3 linked regions of the Drosophila melanogaster genome follow. The protein of the gene in region 1 purifies or fractionates together with the protein of each later gene. This does not show direct contact. Each region holds a gene or a part of one and is shown on either strand. Other genes may lie near its edges.

What was found. The genes of interacting proteins can lie anywhere in the genome.
Region 2: the proteins of ND-20 (region 1) and ND-39 purify together in Drosophila melanogaster (affinity purification with mass spectrometry, with the first as the bait; one large-scale study listed by BioGRID). This does not show direct contact.
Region 3: the proteins of ND-20 (region 1) and CG12909 purify together in Drosophila melanogaster (affinity purification with mass spectrometry, with the first as the bait; one large-scale study listed by BioGRID). This does not show direct contact.

Annotation. Positions count from the first base shown.
Region 1 is NC_004354.4:15,984,930-15,988,470, forward strand, and holds ND-20 (NADH dehydrogenase (ubiquinone) 20 kDa subunit), read right to left. Parts: upstream 1,880-3,541; 5' UTR 1,809-1,879; exon of another isoform or gene 1,755-1,808; 5' UTR 1,748-1,754; coding exon 1,082-1,747; 3' UTR 544-1,081; downstream 1-543. Other genes in the region: Slc25A46a (solute carrier family 25 member 46a), read left to right, coding at 1-436; eIF5 (eukaryotic translation initiation factor 5), read right to left, coding at 2,356-3,060, 3,139-3,541.
Region 2 is NT_037436.4:20,490,394-20,497,607, reverse strand, and holds ND-39 (NADH dehydrogenase (ubiquinone) 39 kDa subunit), read right to left. Parts: upstream 5,527-7,214; 5' UTR 5,394-5,526; intron 4,367-5,393; exon of another isoform or gene 4,118-4,366; intron 2,946-4,117; exon of another isoform or gene 2,687-2,945; intron 2,262-2,686; exon of another isoform or gene 2,257-2,261; 5' UTR 2,129-2,256; coding exon 2,089-2,128; intron 1,984-2,088; coding exon 1,533-1,983; intron 1,451-1,532; coding exon 1,085-1,450; intron 1,017-1,084; coding exon 623-1,016; 3' UTR 524-622; downstream 1-523.
Region 3 is NT_033778.4:10,308,290-10,311,666, reverse strand, and holds CG12909 (uncharacterized protein), read right to left. Parts: upstream 1,555-3,377; 5' UTR 1,433-1,554; coding exon 587-1,432; 3' UTR 524-586; downstream 1-523. Other genes in the region: Obp46a (Odorant-binding protein 46a), read left to right, coding at 1-17, 69-225, 284-495; RNaseZ (ribonuclease Z), read left to right, coding at 2,004-3,228, 3,287-3,377.

The DNA of each region.
Region 1 (3,541 bases):
CAGCCTTATTGCTATCATAACCACTGAGGTCATGTTCTTCCCGTTCGAAACGATTCTACACCGTCTGCAATTGCAGGGAACACGAACTATAATCGACAACCTCGACAATGGCTACGATGTCGTACCCATTCTAACAAACTATCAAGGAGTCGTCGATTGCTATCAGACAACGATTGTCTCCGAGGGAGTTAGTGGCCTCTACAAGGGCTTTGGAGCCATGATCCTGCAGTTTGCGGCACACGTGGCCGTCATCAAATTGACCAAATGGGTTGTGAATCAAATCGTAGAGGTCATCTCCAACCGACCACCACAGCGAATAGTGAATTACTATAATCTGGATGAGAATGCTTGCAACTCCAGGTCCACGACCTTGTCGCCAAGCCTTTCCAGTACCGAAATGGGGGAGATTAGTCTTGGGCAGAATTCACAAGACTAGTTAATGGCTAGTCAAATTATATTGCATATGTAAATTATACAAATATTTATTTCTTTTTGTATTTTTCGTTGGGTTTATTGGGACGTTAGCATGAATAATTGTATTTTAAGGGTTTGCTTACTCTGCAGTTGCGTTAAAAAAAAATCTGCCAATTAAAAAATATAACTATTTTAAACACTTTAAACTGAGCTTATATTCTTGCACTTTGTGTCCCGAAAACGTCAGGACCTTGAAATGAATACAGAAAAATTAAGTAAAAACAGCAGATTGTCCTGTGGTTGGTGCGATCGTTTCTATGACAACTAAATGATATGGTTGTGTATACAATTCACGATAAAAAAAAGAGGAAGGAGCCGTTAACTTCACGCTCATTTTGAAGGGAAACAAAACTTTTTTCGAATTCACGATTTTCATTACGACCGTTGGCAAACACACGTACGATTCAAGCTGACGTTTGGATACAGAAGCACAGCTTGAATGTTTGTATTTATATCGAAAGGCATTTATTTGCAATATCCTCGTGATCCAACAAACAATGTATACAACAACTGAACGTTAACAGAACGATATTTAATATGATTTCTGTTCGCAAAATCGTATGTCGTTTGATGTTTCACATTTTAAATATAAGTTCCGATCGTTGCCTTACTTCCTATACCACATCTGGAGCGTCTTCATCCGCTTAACCTTCTTCTGCAGCTGCAAAACGCCGTACATGAGCGCCTCGGCGGTTGGCGGACAACCGGGTACGTATATGTCGACGGGGATTATCCTATCGCAGCCACGGACGACGGAGTACGAGTAATGGTAGTAGCCGCCGCCGTTGGCACAGCTGCCCATGGAGATGACCCAACGTGGCTCGGGCATTTGGTCGTAGACCTTTCGCAGGGCCGGTGCCATTTTGTTGGTCAGCGTGCCAGCGACGATGATGACATCGGCCTGACGTGGAGATGCACGGAACACAACACCATATCGATCCATGTCGTAACGCGGAGCAGCGATGTGCATCATTTCGACGGCACAGCAGGCCAAACCGAAAGTCAGTGGCCAGATCGAGCCCTTGCGACCCCAGTTGAGCAGATCGTCCAGTCTGGCCAGTGACCACTCCGCAACGGAGGACTGTTTGGTGCCGAACGGAGAGTAGCCCTTCTTGGGCAGATTTTGGGCCACTTCGGCAACTGGAAGCGTTTGTTGTTGGCGCACCAGGGCCAAATTCAGAGCGGGCAGCGCCGAAATCGACGCATTCGGTGTCTGAGTCGCCTTTTGGAGAGCCCGGGACAGGGTCGATGACATCATCGCCGAACGCAGCATGTTGATCCTGCTAAAGTAAATCTGTAGTTATACTAGGACTGGGCATTTAAACATTTAATACCTATTTATGTAACTTCAACTTATTTCGATTTATAGGGGATGCGTATGATGTGACCGCCGCCGAACTACTAACTAAAATACCAAATGCACCAGGAAAATATACTATAAAATACGAATTTACTTTAGATATCCTATTCTCACACAAGCACATCACTTGCGGCAGCATGAACTTTATGCCCTTTTCCCACATGAACGCAATGGTTGGCTAAAAAAATCAACTTGCTTGAAGGTCATAGCTTAAGCTGACCAAAAGGCAAGTAAAAAAGTAGTTATTAATGTTTTTGTTTGCTTTATTTTGTAATATGTTGGTGTAATTCTATTGTTACAGCGGCTTGGGAAATGTTATGCAAACAATTGAATGGTAGTAAAGCGACGACTCAAAATACGATTAGCACTCTTAAGAACTAAAGATAAAAAAAACCACATGTTGATTTAACTCGCTAATTTATATTTCAGTTTGAATTGTAGATTATGCTTGCTCGCTTGATTTTCCCCCTTTTAAAATATTACTGGTTGGATTAGGGTAGCTGTTCTCTTTTTGATTCCTTTTAGATATCGTCGATGTTCACGTCGTCCTCGTCATCCTCGTCGCCTGCAACAGCGCGTGGAATTCCGCGTTGGACGACCCGTTGACCGCCACGTTGGCCGGCACTGGAAACGTAGTTATCCTCCTCGGATTCATCGTCCTCCTCCTCCTCACTTTCGGAGGACTCTTCCTCGGCATTCTTCAGCCAGAGAACGAATGGCATAGCTTTCTCGTGTATTTCGGCAGCAATATTTTTCGAGACATGTCGTTTGCTAACCTTCTGTGCCCACTCCAGTATGACGGCCTCATCGAGTATGTCCAGATCATAAAACAATTTGAAGATTCCAGCAACCTTGCTCATCAATATACCCTTATGCAGCTCTACAGTTTGCTCCACTCCACCAATTAGATAGCGCTGTGCTTTTGGATTATTGAGGGTGAAGCGAAGAAGCAAAGGGCGATTCTTCTGCACGTCCTTGATGATGTTTTCAGTGAAAAGCAGCTCGGCGAGAACCAATGGAGCCTTGTTAATAATATCCAAGCGTTCGGCTTCAATCACCAGCTCCTTGTGAGTTTGCACATCATCCAATTGCTTCTTGTCCCGCTTGTCCTTAACCAACTCGTAGAAAATATCAATGCGCTCCTTTTCAGTTTTATCATAGTCATCCGAAATAGTCATACCCTTAGCACCATCAGTCAGATCTTGCAAACGAGCACGAATAGCCTCCTACCGGGGTGGAGTAGTAATATACATATGAATAGCTCTTTAAGCTAATTGCGAGTATATACGGATTAAACAACGTACCTTCGAAACATCGACACTCCATCCCTCATCGTCGTCATCCTTGGCTGTTTTCTCCGGAATAGCTGCGCTAATCTCGGCCTCAGTTTGGCTAGCCTGATTTGTGCCGTTGCCGCCATCTGATTCACCGCCAGAGTTGTTGGCCAAAGAGTTATTGGTCATGGAGCCATCGGCGTTATCGTTCTTCTGCTTCTGTTTCCTCGAGCGTTTGCCCTCGGTTAGCGATGATCCTTGGGCGGCCGGATTCAATGACGGGGGGTTCTTCACAATGAATGTGTTCACTTTATGGTTAACCTTGAGCAGACCATGGAAGCCGCATGCCTTGCAAGACTGCGAAATGGTCTGGTTTTTGGCCGACACAGTTAAATTGGTCTCCGGATTGTCGCACTCGGGGCATAACACAAAC
Region 2 (7,214 bases), on another chromosome or scaffold:
TCACACTCACTCTCACTCACACGCACAAAAACGCGAAAAGAGAGGCGGGCGCGCGCTTGTGTTGTTGTTGATATATTCTTTTTTCACCGCTTAACCAAGCTGAAAAGTTGAAAATCTTTACACACACCAAAAACACACACACACACAGACTCAGAAAACTTGGGAAATCGAATTTTCCGTACTATGATTTTCCGGCCATAAATCTGCACGGGCGTAAGTTTCGGAGGAAACTGCTGCAGAAAAGCTCCTGGTCGCAAAGGAAGAAAAATCGGACGGGCGAAGCGTTGCCAGACGATGACAGCGATTTCATTTGTTTTGATTTAGTTGCCGGAGCGATGTCACCTCAATAAGATACCGAAAAATACCAAAGGTATTTCGAGCTGCCAATCTTTTTTCCGACATCAAACTTTTCTAGCCATTTGACTTTTTTTTCAAAAGTATTTATAAATTTTTTTATATTTAAATGCACGAAATAAATACATATATCAATGTCTATATAATATTTGGAAATATAAGTTTCCTTCGTTGTCATTGGGTCTTTCGACTTCTCTTTATTGACGCATCGCCTTAAACAATTCCAACTAAAAATTTCCAATCAACACAGACAGCTACTTCGCTCCGCTTAGGCAAACAGACGCAGTTCATCGCGCGCCTCGATGCACTTGGGCGGCGAGGGAGTCTCGAACTCGCCCAGCTCGGCGTCGTAGTAGAGGGCGGCGCGGTAGGGACGCAGCTCCCATGGCACCTGCTGCTCCATTGTGGTCAGCGTGACGCCCAAATCCTCAAGCGTGGGGACACCAGTCAGAACCTTGTCGGTGACAGCCTCGCGTTCGATGCGAGCGGGATGCAGACCGCCAATCGGGGTGCCGGGGCAGATGAAGCTGTTCAGCTTGGCTTTCAGCAGGAAGGTGGGGTCCCAGCGCATGTCGTAGCGCATGTAGCCCCAGCGCTTCTGGTCCTTGCGCATCAGGCGGTGGAACCAGTCGACCAGCTCGCTCAACTGATAGCGTTTAGGTCTGCAGAGAATAAAGGAAATTAAGAAAATGTACATGGTACAAATACTTGGACTCGGAGATTGACTTACCCCACAGCCTGGTAGATGCGGCCAGCGCTGTCCGGATCCTTGGCGGCGTTGATGATGGCCTGGGCCACGTCCGAAACGTAGACGGGCTGCTTGACGGTCTTCTCTCCCTTGTGCCACAGCGGCATCGAGCGGAACTGACGGCGCCAGATGTGGGCGTAGTAGCGCAAGAAGCGATCCTCGGATCCGTAGATATCCGCAGGGCGGATGATCGTGGCGTTGGGAAAGGCGTCGCGTACGCGAAGCTCACCCTCGTACTTGCTTTTCAGCCACTCGCTGCCGCCCTTGACGTACAGATCCTTGGGATTGGCCTCCACGTTCAAAGAGGACAGGTGGATTAAGCGCTCCACGCCAGCCTCGCGCGCAATCCTGAAGAAATAAAAGTGGTTTACGTCATGCAAAGTTAGAATGAAGAAGTGGGCAGGCAAATAATGCTGGCTATGATGTTCACCTAGCGATCCTCTCCGCTCCGTTGACATGGACATCCTTGAACTTGAAGTTCTTGGTCTCGAAGTCCCTGCCCACCAGGTTGATGACCACGTTCGAGTGCTTGACTGCGTCACGAATGGAGGCGGGATCCTCCAGGTTGTAGAAGTGAAAGAGTACCTGGCCAAGATCACCGGTGACCTTAAGACGGATAACATCCGAATCGTCACCGCGATAGGGCAGGATCATCTGGGTGCCAGATTTGCCCAGTTTGTTGCAGACATAGCGGCCCACGAAACCGGTGGCACCGAAAACGGTCGCCACGATCCCATTGAAACTGCTACGTCCGCCAGTTCCGCGCTTCATGGCAGCCGGATTGGTGGTCTTCAGTGGACGTGGACCATCTTCCGGCGGCGCAGCAGCGGCGGAATATCCACGCAGGCACAAAACTCCAACCACGCCACTGCCGTGGTGCTCTAAGTATCCGGAATTGGACAGAGAATGAGCCAAAAGTTAGCCACAAACATCGTATTACATAATTGGATTGCCTGGCGGTTTTCGACCGCAGGCACGGTACTCACTGGCCAGCTGGAGATTACGGGTTAGTACTATGGCGGCCATTTCGCACCGGCACACTGGACCAACTCGATTCGGTTAATTTACGCTTAAAATCCTATTTTATTTCGGAACAGGCCAGTTTTTTATTTTGCCCCACGACAGTGTGACCGTGGCGTAGCAATTGGAATATACTAGAATTGACAGGTTGATATCAAAAACTACCGTCAAACAAAGCTGCCAGACTGAAGAAAAACATTTGATTTGGAAAGTAACAGTTTTTTCTATAGTTTTTAAAAAGCCCTGTTAACCTAAAGTTAACCCTAAATATGTAAATAATTGACCTCATAACCAATAGACCGTGTTCGTGGCCATTGCATACCAAACATATTTTAATTATCTGATTATCAAATATCGGTAAATGCTACTACGGTTATAACTACTATGATCTCGAATTATTCATACTATTTAGGTGGCACTAATAATTTTACCTCATAATTACTTTGACAACCTTGGGGATATCTTAGCCTCTTAGCGGTAATTAAACCGTCATATAAACCACTCTTCTTGCTTGGCACTAGTTTATAAATATTTGTTGGCAAATAAGACATAAGCTAACCGTGTCCCAGTTGAAAAGTAACTGCCTTGCTTGTCACACCGCAAACTTTTTATCTAATGTGCGTGGCTTAATTGCAATTTCCAGCCCGCGGATCGTTTAATTCGGCACGGCTTGGGTTCTACGGACAAAGAATTCAGTTAGCAGTCGCCTTCGAGCTGTAAAACCGAGAGCATCGGGAAAACTTAGTGTTATCTGTTCGAAATCGGCCAACTAAGGATTAACTATTTCTACGGACCAAAAACACCGATAAGCAGTGAAATAAAAGTGAGCTTGTGGTGAAACTGTTCATAATGGATACACATTTTTGCGGTTATAAAGTGCGGACCACTAGCTAATTTGGTTTGAATGTAACAGCTTGGGTAAACTAATTAGTACCGAGGGTATATAAGTTAGTAATTTGTTTTTAGATTGGTTAAGATAATGGGATTTCAGGCGAATGCGACTGTCATGAATAACCTCCTTCGATACAAAAATATTTCTGGTATTGTAACATTACATTATACACATGCAGTGGGTCAGGATATACAAAAAATTATAAACATTTGTCAGTGTGTCAAACGCGTTCTTATACATATATATGTACGTATTTGTGTATAAAGAGTAAATTTCGTGTCAGATATTTCTATTGAATCACCCTGTCTAAAAATAAATAATAAAACACATTGTTTATATTATTGTTATAATAAAACACATTGTTTTTTGTTTGTTGACTTCAGTTGTGCGTTTGATAAGTTAAATATCTGCACAGATCACTGCTTTTGACAATTGAGGATGTAATTCTATAGAGATTACCATAGCTTCATATGTAAATATGTATTTATAATATTTATTATGGCATTGTTGTTGTCTCATAAACCTACCTAGATAACGACAATACAAACATACCTACATTTGACAGGCATAAACAAGCAACATATGTATAAATTTCACTCTCCTTTTTCTGCTCTCATTTCGCTCTCTTTAATAGCTCACATGCAATCAGCTGATTTTTTTTCAACCTGCTCACGCACTTTTTCGCCCACACAAATACTATCACTGTTGCTTTCTACCTCTCTCTTCCTTATCTCTGCTCCCCACCCTTTAAATTTGCGGGCTTTTCGTTTGTTTTGCCGGCCGTGGTTATTGGTGTTGTTGTTGCTCCTATTCGACCATCTCTCTTTGCCTTTAATACCCTTACGAAGAGTAACTCAAAAGTAAATAAATAAATAAATTAACTACTCTTGGAACATATCCGTTCTAGTGAAAAAATTAAAATTAATTTTAATTCAATTATGAATGCTCAGAATTATAATGAGGAAATCTTCTTGTTTTTGTAGAACATAGCTTTACTAGTATTATAACATTTCGAATTTCAATTAAAAGAGTACTTATAGTTCGGCATGGTGCTTCGGGTTTTCCGTTTATTTTGCCATATGTATATTTCTCGTCGTCTTTTGCGATCATTCGTGTTTGAGCCGCGCTGCAGTTAACAACGATCTGAATGATTCGCTCCCGAAAAAATTAGCGCGTGTGCCTCGAAATATTTTAAATCGCTAACGTGCGTGTGTGTGAATAATAATAATAATAATAATAACAATAAAATAGGAAAAGCTACATTTTCCAAAGCAATTTACGCTGCCGCGGTTATAATTAGAAAACGTAAAGCGAACGCAGGCCTTTTTTCGCTTATCAGAGTCCAAAAGACGGTAATTCTCCAGTTCTTAGCCACAGTATTAGGGGTCTAGACTGATAAGGGCTTTTCGGCCGTATGCGAAATTCGGCTTTGTATCTGGGCCCAGGAATCGGAAAAATACGCCCTAATGCGCGCAGTTTTGGATACTCGCAGATTGTATATAGATGACTGATTCGTTAGCGGGCAGATTGTAGATCCATTTAGCAAGTGATTATTAAGACGCCTCGCGCCTCTTGGCACCGATGTGAAAAAATATTGCCCGAAATATGTATTACTTCTGCGGTGTATAAAAATAAGTTCGATCGAAATTAATGCTAATTAACGGTTATATCTGTCTACGATCCACCTGCCAGTCGCATCGAGATTAAGCTAAAAACAAATTCTCACCCTTAGCTAATTCAATGGAAATTAATCCCGGGCCTTGGCTCAAGTTCTGAAGAACCCAGCTCGGCCGTGTTTCCAGTTCCAAAATATTATAAACAATTACTCTATGAAATAATAAACAAACTAATTTGTTTGCGATTGAGTTAATAATGCATTTTTGGTTGCACGGTTATATTAGCCAACTCAAATTATTAATCTAAAGAGTAGCGTGAGATCCAAAAATTTTACATTTATATTAAAAGAAAAATTATTATATTTTAATCTCTTACATAGAAAGCTATTATTGTATTTATTACTTCTATCACTGCAACCGCATTGTATGTTTATAAATTTAATTCAATTAGATTTGTCGTTTTGTAATTTCGAGTCATTAAGTGTAATTGAAGTGGGTCTTTAGTAATCAGCATTAATATCAAACTTCGTATTATTTTAATGGGTTTTTGTAAATCATCAAAAAATCTCTCGGACCCCAACTGATCACGTTTTCGATGAGGATGCAGGGAAAGCATACATATGTACATATATAGATATATACTTATGTATATAGGTGCAGATTGCACGTAGATGGTGGTGCATAAAATCGTAATTAAAATATTTACACTTCTTTGTTTATTATAATGGGAATATTTCATTGAATCGTGTGCTTCATCACTTACTATGTACAGGTGGTCAGGGTTGTGAATTCGCGAAAAAAAACGTGGATTGGGTTTCACTTTTATGATTATGGGCTAAAAAGCAGTAAGATACAAGCTGGATTTTTATAGAACACACAATTAGTACGGAAAATTTAGCCGAGTGCAATGCAATTTAACTTATAGCCTACTACTTACTAATATGGAATAACTTAAAATCTGCATACTTACTTTCGCCTAGTTGTTCCATCTTTATTAACTCTTATCTTACATCTTATATTTATAATGTACCTATGATTTTAAGGCTGTATTACCTAAATAAGTCATATTTACATCCCATATTATAAGAGAGCCCCCCTAAAAATATTAATTTCCACTTGGCAACATTTACCGGTGGCAACATCAACATTCCCCATCGAATCAATCCCTCGACTAGTGATGGCATTTTAACCCACTGAAAGCCGAGTTGTTTTCGATATTGTTTTCCAAATCGCTCTTATCAGTCAGACCTGTCCACTTACCACTTAATCACCTGGGGTGAGATAGCGATAGGGTCGGTAGACAACTATCTCTATCTGCTTATCAGGAGTCCGATTTTGGCGCGTTCGAAATGTTCAAATGCGCCTCATGGGCAACAAAGTAATAAAATATTGGCAGCACACGTTGTCTGTGGCCCACTGATAGACAATAACAATATTGATAGAATTTTTAAATAACACCGTTCCCTTGCGAATTAGAAATTCCAAAGGCATCGGCAACCTTGTCATCGTGTCCGAAATGGTCAAAATTGTTAGATTTTAGCTGCTGGTTGTTTTGAAAACAGGCCAGGGACCCGTATAGGAAGTATTTTTGTAATTCAGTTTAAAATCTACGCAAAAACCAATAGGCAACAAATGCTGTTTGTTGCCAAACTTCATTTGTATGCAGGCAATGGTCCGAAAGAAGCAAAAAATTAAACAAGCAAACAGAATTAATGCACCTGAAACCTGATGATGGCAAATCAAAACAAAAAGCAAATGTTATTGGTCCCGAATTTTACTGCACGCTTCACTTTTTGTTTATTTTTTCAATTAATGGAGTGAGCTGTTGCATTGGTCTAATTGGCAATTGAGCTGTCAACTCTTGGCTCAGATTTACGATCTGGACTTTACGCCATCTGAGAAGGTCCGGATTCGAGGGTAATCAAATAATTATGACAAAAGGGGTGAAAAAACATTCCATAAAAACCTTAAAATTTTGCAATTGAATTCTCGAAAGTAAAAAGATTTCTCGCAATACTAATCTGTGAGCAATTTCATTTTTGTAAAATAGTTGTTTAACTATACATAGCATCTATAAAATAACCAGATACCTGTTACTCAGATGTCGGGATGCATGCCTTGTCTCAACTTTTTACAAATATCTTTAAAAAAATATGTACGGTCAGACGGACGGACGGACATTCAATTGAACATTGGACTTATTCGCAATTAAATAGCTAGTTAACATACAAACTAAAAGAAATTTATATATAAATTTAATTACACGTTATAAGTTGTTCATTTTACTTGCCGATTGCTTCTGTTTTCACTTCAATAAATATTTCGAGTGATGTTAAATCAAAGGTTTAGCGGCGATATCAATAACAATACCGATATGTTGCATATTAATTTTCTTTATTTAAACAGTTTACCACCAGTAAGCATTAAATTTGAAAAAAAAAAATTCGCTAAATATACAAATCCAATAAATACGAGCAATTACTTTATTCAATCTAGCGTGATATGCCAACTTTTTCTTTTTTTTTTAATCGGTTTCGAAAACAAGTGTACATTAAATCTTTTACCCCAAAAAATGGCATTAAGT
Region 3 (3,377 bases), on another chromosome or scaffold:
AGCAGACGTACATGTTTGTGAGTTCGGTTGAGGAGCGTAAACAAGTACCAAACTAATTGCTTAATCAGTGCACCGCAGAGTGCAGTTTCAACAGTACGAACTTCTTGGGCAGGGACCGCCGTTCACTGAATCTCAATGAGGTAAAGGAGCACTTGGAAAGCGACCTGGTCAACGATGCGGACATTAAGCTTCTCTATGACACCTATGTCAAGTGCGACAAGCATGGTGTGCAAGCTGCGCGAGTTGTTTATTAAATCATCTCTAAATGAACTACCCTTTGCAGCGCTCTCACTGATGCCGCACAAAGGTGTGAAGCAGCTATCCAAACGTCTTTCGCGTCTTGGCTGTCATCCGTATCCCGGACTGGTCCTCGAGTGCGTGGCCAACGAGATGATCCTGCACTGTCCCACCAAGCGCTTCCGTCAAACAGCCCAGTGCGAAGAGACACGCAATCATTTGAAGCAATGTATGCAGTATCTAAAGTACAAGTCCTAGATGTGGGATTAATACATGGGCACCACTTCCAGCTTACACGTTTATTGTCCTTTTGTTATAATTAAACTATGACTAAAGGTGGGATATTCGGCTAGCTAGCGATCTTAACTATTTCACCCTCGACTTCCAAGGAATCGGCGAGCTTAAGTTGCTTATCAAAGCGTTTCTGAAACTTCTTCGCCTGTTTTTCGTTCAAATCCTCGACGGACAGATGCTTGGCATACTTCTTGAGCAGCTTCTTACGAAGTTTTTCCAGGAAAATGCCATCTGCTTGCTTGGTAACGATCTTAGTTAGCTGGGCGGCCCAATCAAAGTCGCTGGTCACGCCGTTGGAGGTCTCCTCGGCAGCAGCATCTTCTGTGGTCTCCACTTTGGCCTTCTTCTTGGGTGGCGCCTCTTCCTCGACCTCTGCCTTCTGCTTCTGCTGTATTTCAGCAATCTTTTCCGCCTTGGCTCTGGCCAGCTCCGCTTGCTTTGCCTCCTTCATCTTGTTCAGCTCCTTCTCGAGAATATCCCACACCTGGGTGGCCTGGTTGCGGGGCATGCGCATGCAGTTTCCCACGAAGTTTTCGAACTTAGCCTTCTTGCGGGGCACGTTGTCGACGCTCTGGAGCTTTTGGAAGGCGGATCGAACGGCTGGAGTTAAATTGTACTCGCTGCTGTCGAGGATCGACCGAATGATGTCCATCCAACTCTCTTGCTTTTGAGCGTTCTTGTTGCGGGGCTCCTTGGCGGCAAAGCCTTGGCTTTGGCTGGCGTACTTCTGGGCCTCTGAGATGCACTTAATGTGTGCCACATACTCCTCGCCATAGAAGTCCTTTAGGCAGTCCATGCAGGACACGTTCTTGTCTTTGCCGCGACAGCGCGTCTGGTAGTGCTTTTCCACCGCCGGTTTCTTTACCGACTCGCCGCAGATGTTGCACGTGAAGAAGACCATGGTGTAGCAGTCGCTGATCTCTTGTTTACCGGGGAATCCTTGGAATTTCAGGTAATTTGGTTGAATTTACCGCCGGCGGAGGCCAAACAAAACGCACGTGGGCATTAGAGTGACCAATCACGTTCGAGGCTTAAATACCTGAAATTCAGTGTTGCCTAAGACCGATTTCAAGTACGCAAATAGGAATTTACTTAATCTAACATATTAATTTTTAATTCAACATTCATTGATATGGTTAATAATAATATAAAGTTGGAATAATTTACTGCCCTTATTTATTAAAACATATCTAGAAATTCCAAAACTGTAAAATACAACAGAAAAATATAATCAATTTTCTAGACAAGAATCATTTTAACTTAAATTTAATTCCTTTTAGCACTTTTCTTCTATTTTTTACTATCGTCCCATTTCGATGTATCGCAACCATCAGCGTGCCATCACTAATAGCAACAGCTGTTCGCAGACACACGTTGCCGGTGCTGACGAAATTTGTGCGAATGATTTCAGCGAATTCCCCGCTTTTTCAGTTTATTAGAAGCCCGCGACTACAGACTCTGACGAAATACGAATGTATTTAGTAAAATCAGCCAGGTCGCCGATCTACAGAACCTTGCGAACGCTCACAACCAGTAATTTGATGGCGGCCACAATTGCCTCGGCCAAGGATCCTTTAACAGGACCTCGCTATGAGCGGGAACCCAATGTGCTTAGAAAAAAGCTGGCCTCCGTGGTGCCGGGAACAGTAAATCTTCAGGTTCTGGGCTCTGGCGCCAATGGAGCGCCTGCCGCTGTTTATTTGTTTACGGACCAGGCACGCTATCTCTTCAACTGCGGCGAGGGAACCCAGAGACTAGCTCACGAGCACAAAACCCGCCTATCACGCCTGGAACAAATTTTCCTTACACAAAATACGTGGGCTTCCTGCGGAGGGTTACCAGGTTTGACGCTCACCATCCAAGATGCCGGAGTGCGCGACATTGGACTCCATGGACCGCCTCATCTCGGCTCTATGCTGCAGTCAATGCGACGTTTCGTGGTGCTAAAGAATCTCCAGGTGCGGCCAAACGATTGTTCTGAGGGCGCCTGTTTTGAGGATTCCATCTTGAAGGTGGACTCTCTGCCCCTGATCAATTCGGAAGATCCGACGAAAAGTGTAATTAACTACATTTGTCAGCTGAAACCGCGAGCTGGCGCCCTAAACTTGGTGAAGTGCGTGGAGCAAGGTGTGCCGCCAGGACCACTTCTGGGACAGCTAAAGAATGGCAACGATATCACACTGCCTGATGGAAAGGTGGTGCGTTCAGTCGACGTCACCGAAGCCAGTGAAACTGCACTGTCCTTTGTTTTCCTTGATGTGCCCAGTGAGAACTATCTACCAGCACTGCTTACACACGGCAAAAGGCTTAAAAAGTTAGGCGAAGAGAAGTTAACTGAAGTGGCGCTTGTGGTGCACTTCACGCCTTATCATATATCTTCTCGTCAGGTGTACAAGGATTTTGTGGTGGAGAGTTTTTCATCTGAGGCACAGCACATATACTTAAGTTCTCCCCTCAACCAATTCTCAGGCTATGCAGCCGCCCATCGCATTCAACACCAACTCCACCAACTGGCACCGCAAGTATTTCCACTCCTGGGCGAACAATTGTCCTGCCAGAGTCAGACTCTCAGTCTAAACCTTAAAAAAACGAAGTTGGACGAGGCCGATTCGGAGGACAAAGCAAATGCAAAGGCTAACGAGACAGAAGAACAGGGTGTGGTCGCCATGACAAACTATCACCTGAGACCAAGGAAAGGTTGGTACTATTTTTTACTTACCATTCAATGCTATAAGTATATTTTTATTACCTGAAGGTCTGGATCGCACTCTTGAGTCCAAACTCACACCAGAGGAGTATGTTAAGGAGACCCATGCCGTACCAGGATTTCTGGAACTATTGGCCAA